Linked DNA regions of Xenopus tropicalis. The protein of the gene in region 1 interacts with the protein of each later gene in a pairwise test. Links are inferred from orthologs where the notes say so. Each region holds a gene or a part of one and is shown on either strand. Other genes may lie near its edges.

Evidence for each region. The genes of interacting proteins can lie anywhere in the genome.
Region 2: the proteins of stam2 (region 1) and plekhb2 interact in binary tests that used the Homo sapiens proteins (3 or more experiments, as listed by UniProt). The two-hybrid records come from large-scale screens. The link is inferred for Xenopus tropicalis from reciprocal best matches to the Homo sapiens genes STAM2 and PLEKHB2.

What each region holds. Positions count from the first base shown.
Region 1 is NC_030685.2:75,874,629-75,878,927, forward strand, and holds the start of stam2 (signal transducing adapter molecule 2), read left to right. Parts: upstream 1-1,488; 5' UTR 1,489-1,708; coding exon 1,709-1,748; intron 1,749-4,299.
Region 2 is NC_030681.2:126,782,321-126,786,540, forward strand, and holds the start of plekhb2 (pleckstrin homology domain-containing family B member 2), read right to left. Parts: upstream 2,867-4,220; 5' UTR 2,808-2,866; coding exon of another isoform or gene 2,741-2,807; intron 1-2,740. UniProt on the Homo sapiens protein: Involved in retrograde transport of recycling endosomes.

The DNA of each region.
Region 1 (4,299 bases):
AATAATCTGGCCAATAACCAGCTCAAGTCCAGGCCCCTCCCCCTAAAACACAAACACGCCCCCAAAAATGTAATGAGTACCCACCCACCCTCAAATTCACAGCTCTGCCCCTAACATCACCCTGCCCTCTTGTCTGTCTATGACAGAGTTCAAAGGCGGCAACCCTAGAACATACCTCCCAACTGTCCCGATTTTGTGGAACAGTCCCTCTTCTGACAGCTCAACCCGCAGTCCAGGATTCTTACTAAAAAGTCCCTCATTTCCCTTTGATCTCCTGTACTGAATGCTAAAAAAGATACAAATTTAATTAAAAAGTAGCTTTTGGCAGAGAGCCCAGAAAGTTAACAAGCTTCAGCTGCATTTAGATACATTGTTTCTCACATTAAATTAAATAAGTAGCTTTTGGCAGAGCCCAGAAAACTTAACAAGCTTCTCCTGCACTTAGAAACATTGTTTCACACATTTAATTAAATAAGTAGCTTTTGGCAGAGAGCCCAGAAAGGTAAAAAGCCCCCCCTGCACTGAGATACAATTGTAACTAATAATCTAAACAGGTCTCTTGGGGGGACTGAGACTTGCAGCTTAAAGGGCAATTTCACCTTTTTTTAACAAAACTGTAACAACACATAAAACAAGACCCCAAACCCCCAGAAATGTTTTCAAACTTTATAAAACCTGCCAATTTAGTCAAATGGGAGCGGTATTTAGGGGGTGTGGTTGCAAAAATGGGCGTGGTCAAAAACAATTCACCATGCCGCATTTAATTTTGTGCCTCTTTCCATTTTCAAAATACTGGGAGGTACGTTTTCGGGTCACAACGGTTAATGTTACAGTCTTGTGAAACCCAAACAATAATCCGGCCAATAACCAGCAATAATGTCCAGGCCCCTCCCCCAAAAATGTCATGACCCCACCCTCAAATTTCTGCCCCTAATATCACCCTGCCCTCTCGTCTGTCTATCACAGATTTCAAAGGCGGCAACCCTATAACACTGGTGCTGGTGATTCCTTACCAAACAGAAATATAGATTGGCCTTAAATACCCCAATGCAGCACCCCTCTAATGACTGCCCTATATACCTACTATAGATATATAATATATATATATATATATATATATATATATTATATATCTATATTATATATCTATATATATCTATATATATATCTATATATATATATATCTATATATTATATCTATATATCTATATATTAATAATCTGTCTGTTGTTCCTCCATTGATCAGCTGACCCTGCCTTTCCCAATCCCCTATGACATCACTGCTGTTGGTACATTCCTTTCCTCAGACTTTCAGGTGACGTTAGTCACATGACTATGCCAATTCGCAGGCGTTACCTGCCCTTCCTTCCGCGGAGGACCCTAAAAAACTACAAAGGACCCACGATTTAGGCAACCATGCAGCTGCCTGTAAAATACGCAACGCTGAACTCGCACCTAGACAGATGTTTAGCCTTTATATGCTGACGTGTAAAGGTTCCTTTTGTAAAAGAGTTCAGCGTATGAATATAGAATAATTCCCCAAGCGCGGCGGCACTTGTTTTTGAGTCAGGCGGTGAGCGGGCAGACCCGGAAGCCTCTGTGCTTGGATGTTGTGACTGGGGAGAGAGGAAGCCGGAGTAGGAAGAGCCAGGCTAGCAGCGGGGCCCCAGCACTGTACACGGACCTCTCGCCTTCCTATCGCCCCAGCATGCCGCTCTTCGGCTCTAATCCCTTTGATCAGGATGTGGGTAAGTGCTATCCCTGGAACACGGGCATCCATACGGGGAATATGCAGCTCCTGTATAACTACAACCCTCAGCGACCCCTATATGCCTGCGGCTGTTGGAGAGTTATAGTTCAGTAACAGAAAGGATTTCAGTATTATTGGTCCATGTAGTAAAACCCGCGGCTGCTGAGGAACCTCTTGGGGAGAAAAGCTGTCACGTCATGCCTACTTTATTATCCAGAAGCCAGCAATGGCCTTTAGCTCTGGTATCCCACATGGGCTCATTTATTATTATTATTATTAACATTTATTTATAAAGCGCCAACATATTCCGCAGCGCTGTACAATAAGTGGGTTTCATACATTGGACATACAGAGTAACATATAAAGCAATCAATAACCGATACAGGAGGGGAAGAGTAACATTTGTACTTGCCCAGTAACCCATGCCAACCAATCACATTTGTACTTTAATTAATCATCCTGCCACTCTCTAACCAAAGCTAACCAGCCTATCCCATCCCCAATAGTGTCAGTACGCTCCTGCCATACTGCTTCATATGTTTCCTCTAGATAAAGGGATGAGATGGCCAGGCTGGTATATCATTTACATCTATTACAGCTATGGGATCTGTTATTCAGAAATCTCCGAATTACAGAATGCCTGTCTCCCATAGACTCCATTTTAATGAAACAATTCAGATTCTTAAAATGCATTTTTCTTTTCTCTGTAATAATAAAACAGTGCCTTGTATTTTATCCCAACTAAGATATAATTACCCCTTATTGGGGGAAGAACAGTCCTATTGGGTTTATTTAATGGTTAAATGATTCCCTTTTCTCTGTAATAATAAAACAGTACCTGTACTTGATCCCAACTAAGATATAATTACCCCTTATTGGGGGCAGAACAGCCCTATTGGGTTTATTTAATGGTTAAATGATTCCCTTTTCTCTGTAATAATAAAACAGTACCTGTACTTGATCCCAACTAAGATATAATTACCCCTTATTGGGGGCAGAACAGCCCTATTGGGTTTATTTCATGGTTAAATGATTCCCTTTTCTCTGTAATAATAAAACAGTACCTGTACTTGATCCCAACTAAGATATAATTACCCCTAATTGGGGACAGAACAGCCCTATTGGGTTTATTTAATGGTTAAATGATTCCCTTTTCTCTCTAATAATAAAACAGTACCTTTACTTGATCCCAACTAAGATATAAGGGGCAGAACAGCCCTATTGGGTTTATTTAATGGTTAAATGATTCCCTTTTCTCTGTAATAATAAAACAGTACCTGTACTTGATCCCAACTAAGATATAATTACTCCTTATTCGGGCAGAATAATCCTATTGGGTTTAATTAATGTTTTATTGTTTTTTTTTTTTTTATCAGACTTAAGGTATGTAGATCCAAATTACGTAAAGACCCCTTATCCAGAATACCCTTGGTCCCGAGCATTCTGGATAATAGGTCCCATACCTGTACCAGCTTTTGTCATTGTGAGGGCTATATGTAGCGCACTGGCTGTCTATGTGCTTTGTATATAATACATTCCAGTGTAAGGACAAACCAATCAGAATGCTGCAGTGGCTTAGGCTGCTTTTTGTTGACAGACCAGGTTATGATAAGGAAATCATGGCATCTGCAGGTAAAGGGCATGTCAAGGATGTTTTTTTACCCCTCATACCAAAGACTGCAAGGGCAACTATCTCAGCAATCTGTATGCACAAGCTGGAGTCAGAATTCAGGTGACAGTAGGGCCCTTTCCAGAGGGGACACAAAGCTGCATGTATAAAGTCAGATGTAAAAAGGAAATAGAAAGATTAACTTGATTATTTCAGAAATAGTACAATTATGTGATGTACCTTTCATTTTTGTATTGAGTCCTCAGGTTATGGATTTTTTTGTTCTATGGTTTAAGATCACATCATTTGTTCTCTTGGGGGCCCTTTAGAATTACCCCACCCCCACTGATGCAGTTGCAAATCCTGTACATAACTGATACAAAGACACAGGCTTACTGAAGGCCAGCTGAACAATTGTGACCATCCATTTAATTGTCAGCTGCCGATTTGGGTCCTTCACACTGATTTGGCAGCTTATCTGCCCAGTTATGGGCATCACCGATGGGCCTACCTGACCGATATCTGGACTAGATCAAGATCGGGCAGGCTTTATTTTCCCATCAGATCTGGGACAGCATTGGCTCGTTGATGCGTTTCCTTGATCCGACAGCCGATATACCCACTGTTTTTATTTGATCGTTTAGACCAGTGATCCCCAACCAGTGGCTCAGGGGCAACATGTTTCTCCCCAACCCCTTGGATGTTGCTCTCAGTGCCCCCAAACCAGGGAGTTATTTAAATTCCTGACTTGGGGGCAAGTTTTGGTTGAATAAAAATAAGATTTACTCCCAAATAAAGCCCCTGTAAGCTGGTGCATAGAGGCTGCCTAATAGCCAATCACAGCCCTTATTTGGCTCCTCCATGAACTTTTATGGTGCTTCTGTTGCTCTAAGTCTTTTTACATTTGACTGTGGCCCATGAGTAAGAAAGGTTGGGGACC
Region 2 (4,220 bases), on another chromosome or scaffold:
CCAATGTTTAAACACAGTAGTGCAAGAATTTCAATTCCCAGAATATTGGATCGTAACTTTTATTGTGCTTAGATACACAATTCATATTGTTAGCCCTGCTGGTTATACACGTATGGAACATTTACATTAATTAAACCCAACAGGACTGTTTGCCTCCAGTAAGTATTAAATATATCTTAGCTAGGCTAATGTACAATGTTCTGTTTATTATTACAGAGAAAATGCCTTTTTAAGTCTATGGGAGATGGCCTTCCCGTTATTCTGAGCTTTCTTGAAAATGGGTTTCCAGATAATGGATCCTATACCTGTACTGCAGTGTGCTACTAATACAGGTAAGGGACTTGTTATCCAGAATGCAAGGTACCATTTTATTATTACAGTTATGGGACCTGTTATCCAGAATGCAAGGTATTGCTTTATAACAATTATGGGACCTGTTATCCAGAATTCTGGGTACTGGTGTTTTCCAAAAGAGAGGTATTTCCATAATTTGGATTTCCATACCTTAAGTCTACTAATAAATAATGTAAAAATTAAATAAACTCAATGGGATTGTTTTGTCCCCAGTAAGGATTAACTATGTATTTAGACAAAGTGCAATGTACTGTTTTATTATTTCAGAGAAAAGGGAATCATTTTGAAAAAATTAGAATTATTTGATTAAAATTGAGTCTATGAGAGATGGCCTTCCTGTATCCTTTCTGGATAATGGGATTCTGGATTACAGATCCCATACATGTACAGCGAAAATTAAAATAATTTTTTCAAAGTTTCAATTATTTAATTAAGGGTGATGGCTGTCCCGTAATTCGGAGCTTTCTGGATAACGTGTTTCTGGATAACAGATCCCCATACCTGTATTTTTCCTATTCCCTCTTTTTAAAGGCCATTTCAACATTAATATTATCTAAGGCTGTGACACTAAGGATTCAAGCATGTGATAGTTAGAAATGTATTTGTCATGCAATGTCAGTAGTGCAATAAAAACTGAAAGAAACCTATAGTTAAAGTGTTCAGTATTGGTGTTTGTTGGTACAAACCTGCAGGGAAACATGAGTTGAGTCAGAATAAGCATTGTTTGTTGCTATAGAATGCATAGAAACTACACAGTATGGCAAAGGCACTGAAAACCACCATGTTCCTGTACCTTGAGAGTACACACCATGCTTCCCTATATAAGTGTAAGGCACAGTATAGCAGTATGTAAGGGTTCTGTTGAACTATAGGATAGCACAGCACACATCCAGGCACTAGTAGAGTTCCTGTGCTACAGAAAGCCCAAGGGCCTATGTTGCTACGCACTTTAAGAAACAAACAGGGCAAGCAATGGCACTTTTACACTGAATCACAACTTTGCAGGCAGTTCCGCTTGTGTAATCATTGCTTAATGAGCTATATTTTCCCCCAGAAGCAGGTGATTCCCAGTGAAAAACAAAATGTAAATTAAAGGAACTCCTTAGGGAATATATTGTGTATTAATGTAATGCATCCAATGCCACAACTAAACGAGTCCTTCTCGTCATACAGCCTCAGTCCATTTGAGTTATATTTCATAAATTAAACAAAGAGGGACTTCAATCATTATTAAACGGATAGTTCACCTTTAAATTAACTTTTAGTATGTTGTTGAGAGTGATGTTCTGAGGCTGTGGTACATTTCAACATTGTATCAGCCAATCACAATTGGCAAATGTGCTAACTGGGGGGAGAGTGCTTGTTGCAACCTATGAACTCAATGTAAAGTGCTACTGCACACTTACAGAAAACAACACAACTTACCCTGACAAAACTGGCCAATTACACCAAACCACAAAAAACAACATATGCCGATGTTGTTTTATTATTATTATTATTATTATTATTATTACTGTTAGAGTAAACATCTGCAAAAATATATAAGGTTAAACTAGAGGGTTCATTTACTACAGTAGCCTTATGTGCTCAATGTGTAATCGGACGCAAATCACCATGTTTATACCCACAATGCTGTGTTTCCCAGCAGAATTGTAACTTCATGTGGCGGAAACAAGTTAAAAAGCATACACTAGTGGGCTCAGCAGTGCTGGTGTAAATGGTGTAAATTCTAATGCACCACCCAATAAAAATACCCAAGGAGATGGCAAAACAACAGCACAACAAGCTCACAAGCTCACACCATGTTTATGATGAAAAATAACATTCTATATTGCTGATTTGTTGATTTCCTTTTTTCTGTTCCATAAAATCAATAAAAATCTAAATGACAAAATTCTAATGCACATAATCCATAATACCATTAGTGTGTGATTGACTGTACAGAAGTCAGTTGTTACGTTGGCACAAACTGCTAAAGGAAGCCTGGCATTACAGAGTCCCCTTGTGCCATTCTGCCCTGTACTTTGAACAAGTGATGAGCGAAAATTTTAACCAGGTTTTGTTACGAAAGATCACCCGTAGACTGCAATGGCTGCAAAAAAAAGCTGTGCAGTACACTGTAGCTGCAAAAAAAAAAGCCCATTGACTTTGATGCATTACACAAATTTTTGTCATTTCTGACTACAGTTTGAACATGTACACACTTTATTGGAACAAGCTAAATGGACACTACACAAAAGTTGTAAGAAGCAGAAAAGAAAAGGGCTTATTTACATTTGGAACGTGGTTTCTAATTGTCATAAACTATTTTCCTTGTGCACAGAATACATAGATAACAACTATAGCAAAAAAACATACATATAGATATAAATGCAAGCACTCGTACCCTTCCTCTCTTTCTCTTTCTCATGATGGGGAAGATGAGGCTCCTCGGCTGCGAGTTTGCTGTTCATGCTGCAGTGAATATGTTTGCAGACTATGAGGTATGATGTGTTATTAATGCGGAACAGAAGGAGCAGGTAGAAAGGCAGTGGGATAACGAAGCCACAGATAATATGGATATGTTTGTTTCTGGATGAGAACAAGCCCTGAGTTTACTTAATGCTGTTGCCACCCATGGGAATAATGCTGATCTGCTGAATACTGACATGATTGTCTTAGAAGAGTTTATTCATTTATTTATTTTTGCAAGGTAATTGGAATAGACATCAGGAAATTTTAGTTAGGTCTTGCTTCTATAGCATAGGCAGAGTTGTGCTGGAGTTAAATGGACTACCTTTAGTTAATGATGACTAATATAGTGTTCAAATAAAGAGACTAACCTAAGGGTTCTTACAAGGGACTAATGCACTGATGCGCAGGTAAGTAAACTTACACAAGCAATATGGGTAGGGTTGCCACCTGGCTGGTATCTGACTTGCGTGGCCGGTAAATCACCCGGTAGGGCCAGCACTGGTATTTCAAATTTATTTACACTTGTATAATGCCCTATAAATTCCTCCCTTCGCTGACCCTCTCTGCTGCTAATCACCCTTTATAACCACAGGTCACCCCTCTGCCCCGCCTATTACCCCACCAATTTCTGGGCCCCATCCACTTTTCCCTCCACCCAGCCAGCCCATTTACCCACCACCCACCCCTTACATCATAGCCCTGCCCCAAAATGAAGTCACAACCCCACCCCCAACCCAAAGGCCAGATAGAAAAAGGTGCCAACCCTAAATATGGGGGTGTACTCATAGGGCGAAGATACATGGGGTGATCAGTTGCCACAACTAACACTAGTATACAAGTTGTCGCAACTAATCACCCCGTGTGTCTTCTCCCTACCTATTACGAATGTCAGCTATATATGTAAATAGATATATATGGGATCCTTATTTGATGGAGCAGGACGCAAAAATAGGTCTCCATGGTCCCGCTGGATAATGTGAAGTTTCTTCTCACAATAGAAAGTAGCAATTAAATGATATTGTTTGTAAGTTTGCAGTTGAAAAGCTGATTCTACTAATTATTTTGGGTTCCCTGCGATAAAAAGGCTGCCCTAAGGGCTACATGGATGTTCTGCCCTGTCACACTAAGCCCAAAGTCTTAGTGCTCTTTTGTAGGTCCTAGCTGGGGCTCACAGCAGTGTAACCTTTACTGTAAATAATGGCATGGTTGGCACAGTGTCAACATAAGACCTGCACCAGAGACAACAAATTGGTGCAAGCTGCATCTTTCTATCTGCCACAGGAATTCCGTTTGCCTGTGTGTCACCTCCATGCCGATACAAACCCTTCTTTTAACTTCCAGCCCTTCATATATCTCGCTACATCTGTTCAGTTGCATATTAGCTGGAAATAGCACGTAAAACAAAAGCTCAT